Coturnix japonica: one gene and its partner. The protein of the gene in region 1 interacts with the protein of each later gene in a biochemical or structural test. Links are inferred from orthologs where the notes say so. Each region holds a gene or a part of one and is shown on either strand. Other genes may lie near its edges.

Region 1 (9,889 bases):
CTTATTTCTCACTTAATTCTCTTTACACACACACATGTGCATGTGCACGTGCGCACACGTGTATTGCTGGATCAGGCCCTTAGTCTGTCTTCACTTTGTGTGTGTGAGAGGTGGAGCTTGTAATTTAAACTATGATCTCACAGCTATGAAAATGGTTGCATATAGTTTGTAAGTTAAGAACTGTAAATACTTTTTTAAAGGAAAAAAATAAATAAAATAATCGCTTCCAGTTGATACATTTTCATAATTAGCTCTTCATCAAGCTTATTTATTTCTGAATTCTCCAATAGTGAAAATGGCTTGCACTTAGACTACTGGATTGCGTCCGCAATTACCACTTTATTATGAAAAACAATGGGGAACTTGGGGGAGGGAGTAGAGGGAGGGCAGCTGGGGGAGCCAGAACTGGCATTCCATAGGATGTTTGTAGGATTCACCTCCAAACAGCACACAACACTCAATTTCACAGCTTTTCCTTTGTGTTGAAATAAACTTTTTGGATTTTAACCGAATAAAATTTGATTGCAAAACAGCCTGTGATAGAAGCGTGCTCCCTAATAAGGCTTTGGGATTTCTGGTCTGATCACGAAGTCCATTTAATGTTCTGAAAATAAGGAAATGAGGAGCCAGAAATTATGTTTGCACAACATTATGCAATGAAATGGTGGAATTCTCTCGTGACTTGTATGTATGCCTAAAATGTGGATAACTGGTCAATGCTGATTGATTTGTATGTATATTACATTCAGATTTAAGTGATATTTTGTGAGAAGTTCTATTGATATATGAAATGGTCAAATTTAGAAAGATTCAAACTTTGGAAATATTTTTGCTTTACCGTTGGTTTGTGGGTTTTTTTTGTATTATTATTATCCTTAATGCTAAAGCAAAACAAATCTGATGCCACCTTTGACAAGCAGTCGTTTTTACTAATCCCTATCTCCAGGTGCATCGCAGCAAGTTTTTAATTCTAATTTTGTAGAGGTTTCCAAGGGAATAAATAGCTTTTTTGTTTAGGAACTAATTCCTGTACTTTAGGAAGAAATAAAATATATAAATAGCACTAAAAATACCTCAAATTTTTCATTAGATAGAAGCATTTATTGGCATTATTGACATCGACAGGTTTAATTATAAGCTTCCTTTTCTCTCCTGCGGCTTCTGCTCGGAACTGCTCATTGTTCTGGGGCTTACAAGACAAGGCATCATAATTCTATTCCTAGAGGCTTTATTTCTAAAATAGTAACGTTTCATTTACAGCTTACACAGGATACATTCAGAACTTTTATTTTTAACCAGAGATTCTAGCAACAACAGACAGCTGAACAAGCAGATAGCTTTGGGTTCCTTAGATCAGTTATTGTCATTCTCTGGGAGAAGAGACTTTGGCATTACCTGGTATGAAGAAATCCAAAATAGTGTATAAGACTGTTATTAGTCTTAGTGAAGTGCCTGATAACATTTATGGGCCAACGGATGTGATTGAACACATTTTAATGCCAGAAAGTACAGATGGGACCAAACCAGAACATCGCATTCAAACCAGTCTGAGGTTTGAAACCAGATCGAAATCCAGTTGTTTATTTTGGTTTTGTTTGGGTTTTTTGGTTCTTTTTTTTTCGGTTTGGACCTGTCTCTACCAGAAACTTGTTTGATGAACTCACTGTAAAAGGTTTCATTGAAAGCATTGAGACGTGGAGCAGGAGGAGAGATGTGATTTTCTTCAAGATGGCTGACAGTTCTCATACAGCTGATGTTCCAGAAACAGGGCAGATTTCAACAAGTGCTTCCTTGCTACAGTGCTGAATGTTGGGGCTTCAGTTACAAAACATGAAAATATATATATATATATTAAAAAAACGAAAGAAACTAGAAGCAAAGCAAGTAAATTAGCTGAGTTTGTAGAACGTGTGGGAAGGCCTTCCAAATAAGTGATTTACTCAGCCAAACATTTTATAGCAGAACTATTCCTTGGAATTTTTATGCTTGGGAAAGCAGTTGTTAAACATTCCAAAAAAAAATTTAAAAAAAAGAAAAAAAGAAAAAAAAAAAGAAAGTGCTGGCACTTAGAAAACAACAAAAAAATCCACACGGCAGTATAAAATATTGGGTTTGGGTGGCTATCTTCATACAGTTACATGGTCATGTTTTGGGATGTTCTTTCTATCTAAGGGCCTGTTAGGAGGTGTAAAGAGTTTTGTTTCCTTCAGTACCTAATCGTTTTCCATCTTATGATTTGTGTGTGTGCGTGTTGTACAGCAGTATAATTTTTCACTTATTTATTCCATCGGTAGTTATGGTTTGTACAATGTACAATGGTTTCATTTCCAAAATAAAATAATTAAAAACAAAACAATCACAACACAGAATGCTTTGTGAGTGATTTTTAAGCGAGAAATTTAACCTCAGCTTGTTTTTTAAGTTAAAAATAAATGCCCGTTTTCACAGTCTTTGGAAACACACACTCTATGGCGGTGTCTCATGTGAAATGATTTGTTTGGTTTGAGCAGAGGTTGCCTTGGTGTGTTAGCAGGGCACTGACCGGTTGGGTAATACAACAGCATCAAATGAATACAGGCAATGAAATTACAGCAGCCTGCAGAAAAACTTAGTAATGTAAAGTTTAAGGTGCTCAGCTAATGTCTGGTGGGAACTTAAACTGGAGCAGAGGGCGCAGTGTGAAGACGTGCTGCAGCTGGGAAGCGTATTTGAGTCTGATGCTGGCAAGGATATAAATTCCTCAGAGTTTTGGATGGATTCTTTGCATTCAGGGTGGACGTGAAGTGTCCTGCTTATTGTCCTGCTTATTGTCCTGCTTATTCTCAGCATTCTATGTGCTGTGTCCCAAAGTATCCTGTGGGGAGGGTGAGCTGTGAGCAGCTGCTGCTCCTTTTTGGTACCTCCCTTTCTTTTACTGGGGTGTTTGTGGGATCCTCCCATTGAACCGCTTCAATCTGCTGCCCTGGGTGAAAAACAGCTACCACAATGGGAAGGCTTATCTCGCAGTCTGTGCCATTTAGGAAGATAATCTCTTACCATTGAGGGCTGTGATGTGTGCTGCCGGTATATTTTTAAGCACCACAAATGTCTCTGGACGTCAGACTTGGTTTTAAAGACTTGTCACGGCTGGAGCCCTCATGGCAGCGATGCCTCCTCTTTGTGTGGGGGAACTGCTGCACTCAGCTGAGCTTAGGGCCGTTATTGTGAGGCAGAGCATTGCCACAGACACGCAGCTCACTCCTGGTTCTGCTCAGCACTATTACAGCCACAAGCGGTTCCGCTTTTCTGCTCAAGGCCACTTTTCTCCCCACGTGCCGCCTCGTGACCTTGTGCTGTGCCCTGGCAGCACCGCGCTGGGTGTTAAACCGAGCGGGGAACAACAGCGGGACCGTGGGATGTGGAGTCACCACCTTCCTCGGCCACGTTTGTGCCTGTGGGGCTGCGAGGGGAAAGGACACGGTGACGGCTGCGGCTCAGGGCCAACGTGTGTGTGTGTGAGGACACGAGGCGGCCCGGCCCTCACTGCACAACGACCAACCGTGAGGGAGAACCCGGCTGGAACTCGCCCCGCCGCTGCGGGACGGCGCTGTCGGGCGCAGCGCTGAGCGGGGAGCGCGGCCCGGGCGGGAACGAGGAGGGGCGGGAACGAGGAGGGGCGGGAACGAGGAGGGGCGGGAACGAGGAGGGGCGGGAACGAGGAGGGGCGGCCCGTGAGGGCGGAGCTGTGTCTGTGTCTCCGGCTCCTGGCGGCGGGGCGGAGCTGGGGGCCGGTCCGAGGCGGAGCGGGGCGGTGGCGGCGCAGAGCGGGCGGCGGGCTGGGCTGGGCTGGGCTCGGGGCCGGCGGCGGCAGCGGGGCCATGGCCGCCGACGTGTTCATGCGGCCGGCGCAGCTCCTGGGCGCGGCGGGGCCGCTGTCCCCCCGCACGGAGCCCGATGAGGACTCGTCCGACACCGACGACGGCGGCGCTTCGCCGGGAGGAGGGCGGCGGTGCGGGCCGCGGAGGGGGCAGCCCCCGGGCCCCCAGATCATCCACTCGGGTCACTTCATGGTGTCGTCGCCTCACAGCGAGCACCCTCCCAAGAAGGGCTACGACTTCGACACGGTCAACGAGCAGACCTGCCAGACATACCAGTTCGGGCCGGCCCGAGGGGGCGGCGGCGCCGGGGGGAGGCTGAGCATCGATGCGTCCCTTACGAAGCTGTTCGAGTGCATGTCCCTGGCCTACAGGTACCGGGCGTGGGGCCGAGCGGCGCCGGGGCTCGTGAGTCAGCGGCGCGGGGAAAGCCCCGAGGGAGCGGGGAGGGGCGAGGGGCCCGAGGGCGCGGGGCCGGGGCAGCGCCGGGGGCGGGCGGGGCTGTACGGAGCTGTACGGGGCTGTACGGGGCTGTACGGAGCTGTACGGGGCTGTACGGAGCTGTACGGAGCTGTACGGAGCTGTGCGGGGCTGCCGCTTCTGCACGAGAAGTTGGAGCTCCTTGCTGCGCTTAGGCCACGGTGCTGAGGCGCTTCGTGCCGTGCGGGGACAGCGCTGAGCCCGGCACATGGATCCGTCCCGCTGTGGGATCGTGGCCATGGGCGCGACGCGCAGCATCGCTGCCAGCTTTGGTGCGAGCAGCCGCCTCCAGCCCGAGCAGCGTGTGTGTGTCCCTGTGACACGGGGACTGAGCTCGGAGCTTTTTGTCCCGTTTTCTTCCTACAACTGCCTTAAAAAAGTAGAGTCTGTCATTGTTTCCTTTGTTCCGGTGGCTGCAGCTGAGCGCTGCACTTCCTGGGTTTATCGTCGCCTCGCGCTTTTCTGACTTTGGTTTTGCTTTCCATCAGTTTATTCGGATGTTACATCCACATTTAGGCCCTTTGTCTGCCTTCCAAAATGGAGGCAGAGCGATGGATCAGAAGTGTTGGGAAAGATGTGTGTCTGCACGAACCTTTTGTTCCACGCGATAGATCAGAAGCGGGATCCGCTCTGATGTTCAATATTAAGCATATTCTGGAAGTTGATTAGATGGGATGATGGAAAACTCCCCTGAGTGTTATCAGCAGTAATACTGGTCTTCGTTGATAGGAGCCATATTAACTGGAGCTGAACTTTGCCCACCCCAGGTATCTTTATTCTGTGCCATTTTACTTGGGCTCTTCTTCTGGCTTTAGAATTTATTGATTTTGAAATATTGCTCAGCAAAGAGGAAAGAATAGAACCGTCCATTTGGTACCTTTAGTGAGAAAACAGAGCTGCACGTATCCTCGCTTGGGTGATTTGTACCAGCAGGTTATTGGTTACTGATGTGAAGAGGCTTGTAACATTCTAGTGTTTACAGAACAAAATACAATTGTGACACTAAAAATCAACTGTTCTGCCTGAGAGGAATATGTGGAGGAACCAAAAGTATCACAAATGACACAGCTTCTGTGCATCTCCTCACCGGCCTCTATTACACCTGTAGGCTGAGGCTGGCTGCCTTGGCCTGTGCTCTCCTTGGGGCACATGGCACTCAGGGGGAGCAGCAAGTGCCTCTTGTGCTTCGTGTTGGTCTGAGGGGCTCTGGTTGGCTTGGGGGTGGTTTTATTGTCACCTTTGCTGTGTCATTTATCTGATGCTGACAAAAAACACAGATATCATGCTGTTTCTACTGCATGGAAACCCGTACTAGAGGAAAAACAAGAGAACAACCCCACAGCAGAAAGGTGCAGAGGTGTCTTTTGGCATCATGGCTGTTGCAGACCCAGCAAGGAAGGGCCTGAGCCAGCAAGTTGTGTTTCTGGAGCAGGTTGATAGCTGCATTAAGTACAGAAACAAGGAAACTGATGTAACAGAGCTGAGTGTGCAATATTTATTTACACTTGACGCCCATTGCTGATATCTCAGTGTTTAAAGTCTTAAAAAGAAGCACTAAATTGTGTTATCTATCAGTCCTGCTGATGAACTAGCAAAGGAAGTTTTTCTAGATTACCAGGTCAGGATGGTTTACATTTGAGATGGTCAGATTTATGCTGAATCACATTCACTTGGGGATGTGTAGCATAGCCTGGCCTCTTCTAATTGTGCTGTGTACATATATATATATATGTATGTATATGTCTTAAATAGCTTTGTTCTGTTAAGCAGCTGCCACACTTCTTTATGATTAAAAAAGAAGCTGTTTCTGACCATGATGGAAACGATTCCCTCATGCCTTCAAGCAGTGCAGACTAACCTGATTTTGATTCTCATCCTGTGTGTCTCAGTCACGTATCCATCTGCACGGGCAGAAGAACCTCGTTTCAGATGAGCCGTTTCACAGAGGAAAGCATGGCCAGAGCACGCCTGGCTGTACAGCTCCGAGATTAAAACAATCTTCTAAATCAATAAGTTACTTATAAACGCTGCAGTTTCCCGCAGGTGTCACGCGGGCTGTGCTTTATCTAAGTGTCACCAGGTTTTTTCATGAGATTGATTGTGGTAACCGTACCGTGCTGGTGGAGGTAGAAGAGCCCTGGTTTATCTCTTCCAGCCCTTTCATCTCAGTGCTGTAAAACAATGTGACCTCGTGTGTCTTTGTGTGTGTAAGCAGCACAAGTAACTGCAGCTAGTATAAGGTGGGTAGGCCACTTTATGTAGAAAGATTTAAAAAATATGCTTTCCAAAATGGAAACGACCTTTGCTATTGCTATTGTTCCTTCTCACAGTCAGAAGCTGTGCTGGTAATTGTGTGGCCCGTAAGGGTTATTACGCAGAATTACATCAAATGAAATGTAATCCTGATCCTTAATTTACTGAAACCCTTTAGGAACATTAAACTTATCCAAATATTTACATCACCCAAAAATAACTTTCCCCAAACTGAGCTATATTCCGAGATGTTTTGATTATAGCACGTTGTAATGTGAGTTGGTTGATTCTTTTTCTTGGGTTTTGGACAGAAGTATTTTTCTAAGTGTTGTTTTCAGCAGCAGAATAATGTCCAGCTCCTTGTAGTGTCCAGGCTGAAGGCTTTTGTGAGGTGGAAAAAAATGTGCTGTTAGAAAGGACGCTGCAAGCCATTAATGGCCCGATTGGGCTGGAATAATATGGGAGTGGCAGCATTCCCTGTGGAAAGCTCTGCTTTGGGAACATGCAGTGTGAGATCCCAAATCTGAAACAGGCGTGTAGAAGTGCAGAGGATCCATGCAACTGAGGGAACAGGGCAGCCAGCTGTGTGTGGTCACGTACATGGTGTAAACAAAGCACGAGCCTTATTTTAGGAATTAGTGAGCGTGAGTTGTTCTTTAATGTGGGTGGCTTTCTTTTTAAACTTCTGTTACGCGTAATTATGCCAGCTGATGTCAATCTTACTTGGCGGTAGGACATGATAGGGTAAATGAAAATGACTTTGTGGGCTTGTTTATTATTAAGTAGCCTCAGAACCCTCTCACCTTCTAATGAGAGCTTAAGGAGCGCGCCAGGTGTTGTGTTTTAGGTAAGAGTGTTAGTGCTGGCATTAGGTACTTGTTTAAAACCTTCTGGATCCTGCTTGTTAAAGTTACACGTAACATGAGTGTGAGGTGTGGGAGCCGTGGCATCAGTTTGCTTTGGAGAAGCTTGCCAGGTCGTTTCTAGATCTCATCTCTCCTCTTCAGCAATCTGACCCCATTGCTTTACGTAGATGTAAGCCAAAAACATTCCCTTTGATGCTGGACTGACATTTCGGATTGACTTCTTTCTAAAGCACATTTCCACGTGCCATGAGTGAGTGCTTTGGGAAGTTCCTGGCAATGGTGCCAGCAGGTTGGAGATAAAACGCTTCCAGAATTTATCTGTGCATTTTTATATGCTACTTGTGGCAACAGTTGTGCTCACCTCATAAATTAATCCTAACTTGAATTGAATTGCCGTGTTATGAGCGCTGGTGGGTAAGGTGTGCTATGTTCAGAACACAATGTGAATCAGGACAGTGTTACTGAGCCTATTACCTTGCTTAAGTCGAGTGCTTGATATAGTCGCAAGCTTTTAAGCTCTATTTAAGTAACTGGTAAGTTGCACCGCGACAACCTTGAGCCTCAGGAAGGTTTGCAGAAAGATTGCTGAGCTGTGCTCATTTCAGAGCTGTATTTGTTTTGCCAAAGCAAATATTTAATAGCGGTTGTGTGAAAAGGTCTTAATTAAAATTAAGGTTTTGGTGTCTTCAGTGCTTCCAAAGCCTGGGAAGAAATGATGAATTCCGAAGACAGATTTAGATGCAGGAACAACCCTTTTTTCCCCACCCGGCTCCATGCCTGCTGCTCTTGGTGGCTTGTGCTGTTGGTTGGTTTTTTTTTTGCTGTGTGGGGTGCATTGCAGAGGTGTGGTCCGCAGTAATTGCATTTATAAAAACCATGCCGTTGATATCATCTTGTGATTTACCAATCCATCTGCATGTTGGGTTGTAGTTTTCTTGTCCTGTGTTCCCAAGTAGTAAACAGATCTTATTTTCTGGCATAAATACAACACGGATTTCATAACCATCATTTTTGTTGGGTTGTCGAAATAGGGAAATGGGGAGTTAGTGTATCCTCAGGTTGCCAAGATCTTGGCTGAACTGCGAGATCTGGAATTCCTTTTTATGAGGATTTTGTATTGCGTGACTATGGTGGGCTTTGAGCGGAGTAGAATTTGGCAGCAGAAATCAGCATTTTGGTTACCTGTTTTTCTTTCTTTCCTCTGAATGGCAAGAGGAATTAAAGCCAAAAAATCCCAATTTCTCAGCTTTACTCAGGGTTTTCCACGTACTCCTTTTGTAATTCACTGAATCGTTCTTGTTTTTTACTCTTCCACGTTGGAAGGCAGGGCTGATGGTGCAGCAGCTGCTCATCTGTCTGTGTATCCCTGAGCCTTAAACAAAGGGGTACCCACAGCTGCTGCAAGGTAGGAAGAGGTGGGGAGGTGTAACGGGGCTGTGTAGCTCCACTGAGCTGATGGGCAGGAATTTCTGCAGTGCCAGAAAGGTGTTCTAAATTTACAGAGAAACTGAAAGGCTTGAAAGAGAGTCAGCTCTGTTAGGTGTCTTGTGTGAGTGGAATTCTTCCCTTAATCATGATGCTGGGTGATCTCTTGCAAAGAAAGGGAGTGAGAGGACAAGGTGGGAGGCTGGCTGAGATTTGTAGCAAAATTACAAGGATCTTTGAGGAATGCATTGGATGAAGGAGGGCCATGTGAAAGGCACACAGCTGGGTCGATAGTATTGTTGTATCCCCCTCTTGTTTTCATCTCCATGACCTCTGTCAGCACTATCAAGTTCAATAAGATGGGAGGGGGGGGAGTGGCAGTGCTGCTATGGCTGCTCTGGTGCTGCTTTGCTTCCTTTGCTGTAAGAAAGAAAGGTTTGTCTCTCTAAAACAAAACAACAAAGCTGACCAGTTTAGAAGCTCGGACCAGTTAGGATCTAATCTGTTATTTCATTTTTAATTAACAGACCGTAGGCTGTGTGCTTGCTACTTCCTTTCCTTTGTATGCAGAAATTAATTGCATTTACAGTTTTCCTCATCCGTCCTTTGATATTGTAATGTCACAGAGATGAACAATCTCTTTAAAGACAAAACTTCTAAGCTACTTCTGAGGAAAAAGGCGAAGTTTCTGAACTCTTTGATGGCTATTGAAATATTTTACAGCTGTCCTACAAACTTTCCTTTCGCTCTGGGAAGGAAACCTTTAAAAATGTATAAAACAATTCTATAGGTGCTTAGGAAAAGTGCTTGTTTCAGTGACCTCCAAAGAAAATAGAGTTGGTTCTTTGTGTTCCAGACAGTGATGGAAAATCCTGAATCTGTTTTTAGTGCAAGCTGAAGTTACACCATTGTCACACGGTCTGAAGCAGGAAGGCTGGGAAAACAGGGTTAGGAAAAGCTGGGCTTTCCTGGATCAATTCTGCTAGTTTTACTGCTAGAACAGAAATCCTA
Region 2 (9,549 bases), on another chromosome or scaffold:
GCTGCAGCGCCTGGGGGGGCGCAGCCCCGACACGCTGGAGCTGCTGCAGTTGGACGTCACCGACCCGCACTCACTGGCTGCCGCCGTGCGCTGCCTGCAGGGGCAGCACCTGGATGTGCTGGGTACGGCCACCCCCACCCGACGGCACCTGCAGGGCACGGCTGGGAATGGGGCCATTATGGGGACGGGTGGGTGTGCTGGGGCACGGAGCGGAGGAGCGGGGTTGGGTTCTCACGTCCCCGTATTCAAACGGTGCTGGGGGTACCGACACCCGCTGACCAGCACCGTGCCCCACAGTGTGCAACGCGGGGGTGGGTCTGATGGCGCCCCTGGAGATGTGCTCGGATCAGGCCATGAGAGCGGTGTTCGACGTGAACGTCTTCGGCACCGCACGCACCATTCAGGCCTTCCTGCCCGCCATGAAGCGCCGCCGGGCCGGGCGCATCCTCGTGTCCAGCAGCGTCGGGGGGCTGCAAGGTGGGCGGGGGCTGCAAGGTGGGCTGCAAGGTGGGGAGAGACGCGGCTTCAAACGCTGCTCTGCCCCAGGGCTGCCCTTCAACGCCGTGTACTGCGCCAGCAAGTTCGCGCTGGAGGGGCTGTGCGAGAGCCTGGCCATCGTTCTGCAGCCCTTCAACGTCCAGTGAGCGCCGTGGGGTGCGGTGTGGGGTGAGGTGCGGGGTGAGGTGCGGGGCCCGCGATGGGGCGTGAGCGCAGCGGGGGCCGCTTTCCCGCAGCGTGACGCTGGTGGAGTGCGGCCCCGTGCGAACCGACTTCATGGACAACGCGCGACGCGCCGACCCGGACGGGCCCGAGCTGCGGGCGCTGGACGCCGAGACGCAGCGGTTGTACCGGCGGTACCTGCGGCACCTCGCGCGGCTGCTCCCGCACAGCGCGCAGCGGGTGGACGACGTGCTGCAGGTCGGCGGGGCTGCGGGGCTGCGGGGCTGCGGGGCTGCGGGGCGGGCGCTGAGCGCTGAGCGGTGCCGCTGCAGGTGTTCGTGGACGCCATCGCCGCCCCGGTACCGCCCCTGCGCTGCGTCGCCGCGCGGATCCCGGCCCCGCTGTCGCGGCTGAGACCCGGCGGACCCGACGGCACCGACTACGTGCGGGCCATGCACGACTTCGTCTTCGGCCCCGGTGAAGCCGCCGAGGAGCAGCCGTGAGCGCGGCCCCGGGACGGCCCGGCAATAAAACCCCGTGTCCGCGGCTCCGGTTCGGCCTCTTTGTGAGGGACGGGGGATTGTGCACGGGGGGGCGGCACCGGAGCTGGGGGGGGGGGGGGATAGTATCGGAGCCGTTGAACGGGCGCTACCGGTCGCGGCGCCCCGCGATCCTCCCCCCGCCCGCAGCCCCCACGTTGCCGCGCAGCTCCAGGCCGCGGAGCCCGGCGGGGGCGGGGCGGGGGGCGGGACCGTGACGCGTCCGGGGTCGGTGCGATCTTCCGGCGGGGCGATGGCGCCGTTCCCGTCGGGGCTGTTGGTGCTGACGGCCCCGCTGGGCTCGTTGCCGCGTCGGGCGGCGGCGGCGCTGGCGGAGGCGGCGGGGCTGGTGACGGGGCCGCTCTACGTGCACCTGCAGCCGGGGCTGCGCCTGGACGGCCCCGCGCCGCGCCCCGCCGCCCCCCCGCGCGCCCCCGCTCTGCTCCGCGCTTTGTCCGCGCTCTACGCGGCGGCGGCGTCGCACCGGGAGCTGGACGTGCGGGTCCTGCTGGGCCACGGACACCGGCTGGCGCGGCCGCCCCGCGTGCTGCTCGCGGACGGCGGAGCCGGCGACGCGGGGCCGGTCCGGGTGGCGCTGCGGGAATTGGCCGCCGCCGCCTACGGCTGCCCGGCCGAGCTGCCCGCGGTGCTGCTCAGCGGCTCGGACGGACCCGAGGCGCCGCACGACGGCCCCGGCGCGGAGCTGCCCGTCTACTCCGACGTGGTGGTCGGCGGCACCTTCGATCGGCTGCACGGCGCCCACCGGCTGCTGCTCAGCGCCTGCTGCCTGCTGGCACGGCGGAGGCTGCTGGTCGGGGTGGCCGACGGGGAACTGCTGCGCCGTGAGTGCTGCGGGAAGCGGGGCCGGGGGGCAGCGGGGAACGGGACGGGACGGCGGTGGGGGCTGAGGGCCGCCCCTGGGCCGGGGTATGGGACAGTGTCCGGGTAGCTCAGAGCGCTCGGGGGCTGCTGGCAGGAGGGATGTGGGTCAGCACCGGTGGCGGGCACTGATCACAGGGACAGCCCAGGTCCTGCAGCTGCTGTCCTGCACAGTCCAGGGCCCTGTGGGCAGGATGGTGGTGGGGCACTGCTGGAGGGTTCCTACCATAGAACCGTTTGCTCTGCTGCTCTCACTGTTCCGTCGCGGTGCTGCTGCAGACAAAGTCCTGCGGGAGCTGATCGAGCCCTACGAGCTGCGGGTGGCCAAACTGCGGGAGTTCCTGGCAGATGTGCAGCCCTCGGTGCTGTACGACATCGTGCCTCTGGGCGACCCCTACGGCCCCGCAATCACCGACCCGGAGCTGCGCTGCATCGTGGTCAGCGAGGAGACACGCAAGGGAGGGGAGGCCGTGAACAAGAAGAGGATCGAGAACGTAACTGGAGGATCTGAGACCTCTGGGCCCCGTGGTTACATCTGGGGGGCTCAGTGGTGTCCCCTCCCGGCAGGGCCTCGCCGCACTGGAGCTCTTTGAGATCGAGCTGATGGAGGATCCCCAACACAGCCTCAGTGAGGAGGAGAAGATCAGCTCCTCCAGCCTGCGACAGCGGCTGCTCGGCACGTTGCTGCGGCCCCCACGGGTAGGGGGAGCTGCCGGGGGCTGGGAGCTGCGGGACCACCGCCCGTCTGACCCTTCCTTCCCCAGGACAGCCCCACGCTGCCCCCCCGCCCCTACATCATCGGTCTGACCGGGGGCAGCGGGAGCGGGAAGACCTCGATCGCCCGCCGCCTGGGGCAGATGGGAGCGTTCATCATCGATGCTGATGCACTGGGCCACGCTGTGTACCTGCCCGGCAGCCCGGCCCACGGGCAAGTGGTGGCTGCGTTTGGGGCAGGTGGGGCTGGGTGTGCTGCGGCACCGGCGCTGTGCCGGGACACGCTGTGCAGGTGAGTTGGATTCTTTCTGCTCCCAAATCACCTCCCTCTGTCTTGCAGAAATCTTGAACAAAGACGGGACGATCAACAGGAAGATCCTCGGGGCAAAAGTGTTTGGAAACCAGGTACGAGCAGCACAGGGAATGTCAATATTTAACCTCATGAGCAGAGAACTCTGTGCTGGCGCTTTGATTTCCAGCCCTTTGAGCTGATGCCACGTCCCTGTGCAGTAGCACACAGTAAATCAGCGGCTGTGCAGGATCCACATCCAGGCAGCAGCTGCTGTTGCTCCTCCAGCTGTGGCCCCCTCGTGGACCAACCTCTGGGAGGACCCTGACTCCGCTGCGGTTCCTTTCCAGGAGCGGCTGAAGAACCTCACAGACATCGTGTGGCCGGAGATCGCGCGGATGGTCAGGGAGCAGATCAGGGAGGCAGGAGCTCAAGGTACCGGGTGGCTCTGATTGTAGTGGGCGCTGCCGGCGCTGCCTGTGTCCGCCCGGTGACCAGGAACGGCCTCGTTCCGTAGGAAAAGCCGTGATGGTGCTGGATGCCGCCGTGCTGCTGGAGGCCGGATGGCAGGAGATGGTGCACGAGGTGTGGGCGGCCATCATCCCCGAGGACGAGGTGGGTGACTCCCCTCGGCCGCCCCGTGATCCCCGTGACCCCCCGTGACCCCCGTGATCCCCGTGACCCCCGTGATCGCCGTGATCCCCGTGATCGCCGTGACCCCCGTGATCGCCGTGACCCCCCGTCCCGTGCTGGTCCCGCAGGCGCTGAAACGCATCGTGAGCCGGGACGGGCTGAGCGAGGAGGCGGCGCGTGACCGGCTGCGGAGTCAGATGAGCGACGGGCAGCGGGTGCGGGAGGCGCATGTTGTGCTGAGCACCGCGTGGGAGCCCGACGTCACCCACAAACAGGTGAGAACGGGCCGCTGTAACGGGCCGGTGTAACGGCGCCGAGCCCCGCACGAAGCTGCTGACGGTGCCCGTTGTCAGGTGGAGAAGGCGTGGGAGCTGCTGCAGCGCCGCATCCACCGCGCGGCCACCGCAACGAGCAGCTGAACCGCAACGGGACCGAGAGGAGCCGGGACCGGGAGCGAACGGAGCGAACGGAGCGAACGGAGCCGCACAACGCGCCGGGACGGACCGGAAGCGCCGCGGCCCCGACCGGGCGGGTACGGCCCGTGCTCGGCACGGCGGGCGCTGCCGGTTCCGCGCCGTGATCCCGCAGCCGAGCGGCGGTTAAAGGGCGGTCGCAGTTTCCCGGTGTCCGTGCTGTTTGTGTCCCGTTGGTCCCGTTGTTCCCGTTGTTCCCGTTGTCCCCACGTGGCGCCCCCTCGCGGTCGGGAGGGCGGCGCTTCCCGGCGTCCCCCGCGGCTCCCACGTGACCGGGGCGGGGGAAGATGGCGGAGCCGCCCGGTGCCGCGGCGGAGGAAGCGTGGGGGAAGGTAACGGGGCGGCGGTCGGACCGTGGGGCCGAGGCCCGGAGCGCCACCATCCGCCCCGTGACCGCCGCCCTCCGCCCGCAGGTGGACGCCGCGTACGGGGACAATGTCCCGGAGCCCGGTAGGTGCCGGGGGGGGCGGTTCGATGGCGGGTGGCGGATGGGGCGGCTCCGCTGAGCGGCTCCCGCTGTCCCGCAGCGCTCGGTACGGACAGGAAGGGCAGCGTCGTGTCCCGCGCCAACAGCATCGGATCCACCAGCGCCTCGTCCGTGCCCAACACCGGTACGAACGGGGGCACCGGGCTGGAGCGGGGCGGGCGCGGGGCAACCGGGGACGGCGGCGTCCGGGGGGGCCCGTCCCGACCCGCGCTCAGCGCCGCTGTGTCCGCAGACGACGAGGACAGCGATTACCCGCAGGAGTTTTACAAGGAGTCCTACAAGGACCAGCGGCGCCGGGCGCACACGCAGGCGGAGCAGAAGCGGCGCGATGCCATCAAGGTCGGTGGGCGCCGCGCCGCGTTCCAGCCCCTCGTCCCGTGCTGGATCCGCTCCATGAGCCGCGTGTGGCTGGAGCCGCTTTGGCCGCGTGGTGGGAGCTGGGCTGTGGGTCCGTGTAACCGCTGCCGTTTGTGCCTGTTCTGCTCCCTCTGCCCCTGCAGAAAGGCTACGACGACCTGCAGGCCATCGTGCCCACCTGCCAGCAGCAGGACTTCGCCATCGGCTCCCAGAAGCTGAGCAAGGCCGTCATCCTGCAGAAGAGTGAGTGTGTGCAGGAGGCAGCAGGGCACGATCCGACCCTCAGGCACCTCAATGTGGTGATTGTGTGTGATGGTGCCTCGGGGACCGACCTCAGGGAGGTCAGAGGGGCCCCATGTGCTGCTTACTCTGTGTTTTTGTGTTCAGCCATTGATTACATTCAGTTCCTGCACAAGGAAAAGAAGAAGCAAGAAGAGGAAGTTTCTACTCTCAGGAAAGACGTGATGGCCTTGAAGATAATGAAAGTGTAAGTAAGAAGTTATTTGGTTGCTGCCCCCTTCTTCCTGCTGTTTTTCCCCATGTCCCTGCAAAGCTCCCCCGATGTGCTCAGTGCTCTGTGTGCAGTCTGGCACCTGGGGTCGTACCAAATTGCCTCCAGTTCTGAAGCTGTTTTCAGTGTCCAGTTACTGGCAGCAGCTTCTGCCCCCGCTGTCGCCCAGCTGCTGTGCAGTACGAGGCTTCGATAGCACTGAGCCCCAAACTTGGTGTTTCAGGAACTATGAGCAGATCGTAAAAGCTCACCAGGACAACCCGAGTGAGGGGAAGGACCAGGTCTCTGACCAGGTGAAATTCAACGTTTTCCAAGGCATTATGGATTCCCTCTTTGAGTCCTTTAATGCCTCCATCTCAGTCACGAGTTTTCAAGAGCTGTCAGCATGTGTCTTCAGCTGGATTGAGGAGCACTGTAAGCCCCATGTGAGTACAGCAGACACAGGGGGGTTGATATAAGAGCAGAGGCTGTTGTGTATGGCTGCACCTGTCTGGAGTGTAGGCCTGTGTGCAGCTTTTCTTTCGCCTGGGCCTTCAGAAAGGCAGAATGTGGCTGACACTGGACCTGGGGCATGGGAGCTTGGGTTCCTCTCATTTCCCAGCTGCTTGGCAGTGAAATTCAGACACTGAAAAACAGAGCTTACAAAGAGGGTGCTTGTTCCCCAGCACTTTGTTCCATAAGACACTTAGAAGTTAGGAGGGAAGAGAATGAGCTGCATGGGCAGGGCCAGGTCCTTGTTGTGCTGTGGCTGCCTGGAGCCCTGCAGCCTGAGAACACAGACAGGCGATCGTTTCCCATACAGGTGCTGAGATCTGTGGCACCAGGTGCTGTCTGTAGCATTGAGCATGGGAAAGGCTTTTCCTCCCCTGAACAACTGACTGTGTCTCCTCTCTGCCCCAGACCCTACGGGACATTGTCATCGGGGTCCTGCACCAGGTGAAGAGTCAGCTGTACTGAGCATCCCTCGCTGGAGCACCTCCCGACCGGGTGACAGCTGCCAGGAGAGGCTGGACCATCTCCCTTGTGCTGGTCCTTAAAGCTTCTTCGATTATTTATTGTCACTACAAAACCAAACCAAAGCTGTGCAAACAGGTACTGTCACAGTCAACGTTACCAAATACTGCTAAGGACTTAGTGAAGGGAAAGAAATAAGTGTGTATTGAATATAGATCTTTTAAGTTGCCAGTGTCTTTAGCTCAGGCAGGTGGTTGCAGTTGGGTTTATCTGTGCCACTGATTTCAGGGCTGCAGCTCAGCAGGTGAATCTGCTCTGTAACCTCACACCTGATATAAACCCTATTGAACCTGGGAGCAGGGAGAAATAGGAGAGTGCTAAAAGCTGTTGCTGTGCTAATGCAGCTCAGGAATAGGGTTATTCTGCAGCTGCAGGTTTTCAATACCTCCCTCTGAAGCAGCTCTTAGAAAAGCAAGAGTCTGCTTTTAATTTCTGTAGCTGCTTTGGAGAAGGCCCGGGAGAACTGAGGGCAGGTTTATTAGCATGTCACTGCCAGGGCAATGCTCATTACATGGAGCAGCAAGCGAGCTCTGTGCTGAAGGAGTGCCCTGGGGCCTCGCTGTGCTGACTCTTCAGTAACACCCCTGAATGGGAAAGGAGTGAACTTTCATTGCAGCCTTTTCCTCCTTGTTCTGATGAGTGCTGAATTGGGCCTGGCTTTATCTTTTTCTGGGTTGTGATGTGGCCACACTGAACAGGAAAGTTCAGTAGCTGCAGCACAGCATTACTCTGAGTTCACACTGCTGTTCCTTAGCACCATGATTTTATGTGGGTATATATATTTATATACATGTAACCAGCCTTGATTTTATTTTATAGATCACTGAAATCATTGTAAAGTGTAATCAATGCCAGTTTTGCAGTGTCTCACTTGCCACACGCTGCTGCTGTCAGTGTGAATCAGCAAACCAAGCACAATGATGGCATTGGACAGCATCACCCTCCATGGCATTGACACATACAGCAGGACTTGTTCTCTAGTCGTGTTCTTGCTACCACTCCAACAGTAGCAACTATTTATTTTATGTTGTTTTTCCACTGTAGATGAGGTAATGCTAAGTTTCTCAGCTCCGGGTTGCTTGATTTTTGAATGCTGCAGCTGGAGATGGTTGAAGCTGTTGCTTCTGTTTGACTTAAATGAAGAAAAGCTTTTTGGTGGGGTTGATTTTTAGATGAAATTGTTTTTCCAAACCCTGTGACCTTTTGGATATAATACAATAGAAGCCCAGTAGGAGTCAGACCCTGTGGTGTCGCACACAACTGATGACACGTACAGGGCACAGCTTAATTTCCTTTAGATGCAACCTCTTGCCTTGAGAGGAAGATGCGGATTTTTACAGACCTCATATGTGAAAGTGACATATTTTTCTATTATGGAAAATGATTAAATAAATTTTGCTGAATGTTTTAATGGCTCTTCTGCTTTTATTTCTGGTGCTGTGTGCCTGGAGACTTTAATGGGATCAGGTAAGGGCTGCACCCACTGCAGCTGTGGCTCACGGACCACGTCCAAGGCCAGCCCTGCTACCCTCTCAACACAGAAGACACCACAGCAGAGCACATCTGGAACAGAAGGATGGTGTTTAATGAATCGTGGGGTTGTGTACAACTCTGTACATACTGTGGGAAGCAGCTCCCTCCATGTATGGAGTTTACAGAAATATGGGCCATAATGGTAATTCGTTCCTTCACCTCCGTGAGGTGCTTCCTTCCTGTTCTTATCAACACACCATCCCTGTAACCCAGTGCTCTTACACCCTCCCAGTCACTGCCTAGTGAAGAAGCCCAACCAAAATGGAGAGGGTCCACTGCTGAGTCAATTGCTCTGAACTTCCCTTCCAGGGGCAAAGCACTTTTAAACAAAAATATATAAAAGTGCAGAACAAGCACAAGCCCTGGAAAAAAATTACAGAAGAAAACGAACCTAAAACCCAACAACTGAGTTTCAGCATTGGATCCACCACCATGTGTTCTCTGTAAAGCAATGAGATCCACCTGCACCTCACAGAGCTGCTGGGAGTGTAACATTGTGCTCCTCATCAGTTTCTATTCCAACCTCCTCCTGCACGAGGACAAAGTGCTCCTGTAGCAGACGGCTGCCCTCTGACACAGCAGGCGCAGCTGCCCTGGGACACAAGCAGAAGCAGGGGGACTTACAAAGAATTGCTTCTTGCTTTTGGGGTATCCCTCCAGGATGGCATCGAGCAGCTCGGTTGCCTGGCAGGACAGAGAAGTTAGATGAGATTTGCAGGACTGATGCTGAGCTTTCTGCCACAGCTGTGGGATACTGCCTCCCATACAGGGAGCCAACACAGCTGTTCCCACATTAACCCCTGCACAGGGATGCAAGAGCTTGTTTTGTTTCCCCAAGAACAAATAAAAGACTGTGCCCGCTCCACTGTCACTGTGGGTTTGCCACTGACATTTCTGCCCACCTCACGTTCAATGGGGAAACCATTACCATCCGCTTCCTCCTCCGCCACTCCTTGCAGTACAGCTTGTGCTCGCTGCAGACCTGTCAAAGGAAAGGCAAAGTGAGAACAACTCAGCCAGCAGCCACTGCATTGAGTGTCTGTGAGCTCAAAGCCAGGAGATGGATTGGTAGCGCCCAGTGACTGGACAAAGATTTGCAAGGAAAGGACAACTTGTGCTATTCCAAGTTGCTCTGAGCAGCCTCGATGCAGACTGTGCTGTACGTTCCTACGTTCCTCACTCCCCCAACCCCCCCCAGCTCTTCACCTTCTCTTTTTCCTCTGGCGTTACGTGGTTGGTGGCAGACTTGATCCTCTCCAGTTTCTCCGTGTAACTGCTGCAGTCCTTCCTCAGCTCTTCAACCTCCCGGGCCATGTCCGTCGTGGTCATGGTGCCGTTCAGCTCCTTCAGCTCTGGAGGGCGGCGCCGATCACCGGCTCGGCCGGTCCCCGCGGTGCCCACGGCCGCCCGCGGTCGGTGCCGTGTGGGCGCTCACCTGCCTCCAGCTGCCGGCAGTTGTT

What was found. The genes of interacting proteins can lie anywhere in the genome.
Region 2: the proteins of MLXIP (region 1) and MLX form a complex in vitro, tested with the Homo sapiens proteins (2 studies listed by BioGRID, with this or other methods). The link is inferred for Coturnix japonica from reciprocal best matches to the Homo sapiens genes MLXIP and MLX.

The regions. Positions count from the first base shown.
Region 1 is NC_029530.1:4,926,519-4,936,407, forward strand, and holds the start of MLXIP (MLX-interacting protein), read left to right. Parts: upstream 1-3,819; 5' UTR 3,820-3,857; coding exon 3,858-4,228; intron 4,229-9,889. UniProt on the Homo sapiens protein: Binds DNA as a heterodimer with MLX and activates transcription. Binds to the canonical E box sequence 5'-CACGTG-3'. Plays a role in transcriptional activation of glycolytic target genes. Involved in glucose-responsive gene regulation.
Region 2 is NC_029542.1:4,574,815-4,584,363, forward strand, and holds MLX (max-like protein X), read left to right. Parts: upstream 1-4,358; 5' UTR 4,359-4,474; coding exon 4,475-4,519; intron 4,520-4,600; coding exon 4,601-4,637; intron 4,638-4,714; coding exon 4,715-4,798; intron 4,799-4,906; coding exon 4,907-5,013; intron 5,014-5,174; coding exon 5,175-5,274; intron 5,275-5,418; coding exon 5,419-5,518; intron 5,519-5,765; coding exon 5,766-5,967; intron 5,968-6,442; coding exon 6,443-6,499; 3' UTR 6,500-7,967; downstream 7,968-9,549. Other genes in the region: estradiol 17-beta-dehydrogenase 1-like, read left to right, coding at 1-122, 298-477, 547-640, 735-918, 993-1,163; bifunctional coenzyme A synthase-like, read left to right, coding at 1,453-2,041, 2,358-2,572, 2,646-2,777, 2,843-3,032, 3,133-3,197, 3,432-3,516, 3,599-3,696, 3,843-3,989 and 1 more; PSMC3IP (homologous-pairing protein 2 homolog), read right to left, coding at 8,559-8,618, 8,714-8,773, 9,018-9,071, 9,296-9,441, 9,525-9,549. UniProt on the Homo sapiens protein: Transcription regulator. Forms a sequence-specific DNA-binding protein complex with MAD1, MAD4, MNT, WBSCR14 and MLXIP which recognizes the core sequence 5'-CACGTG-3'. The TCFL4-MAD1, TCFL4-MAD4, TCFL4-WBSCR14 complexes are transcriptional repressors.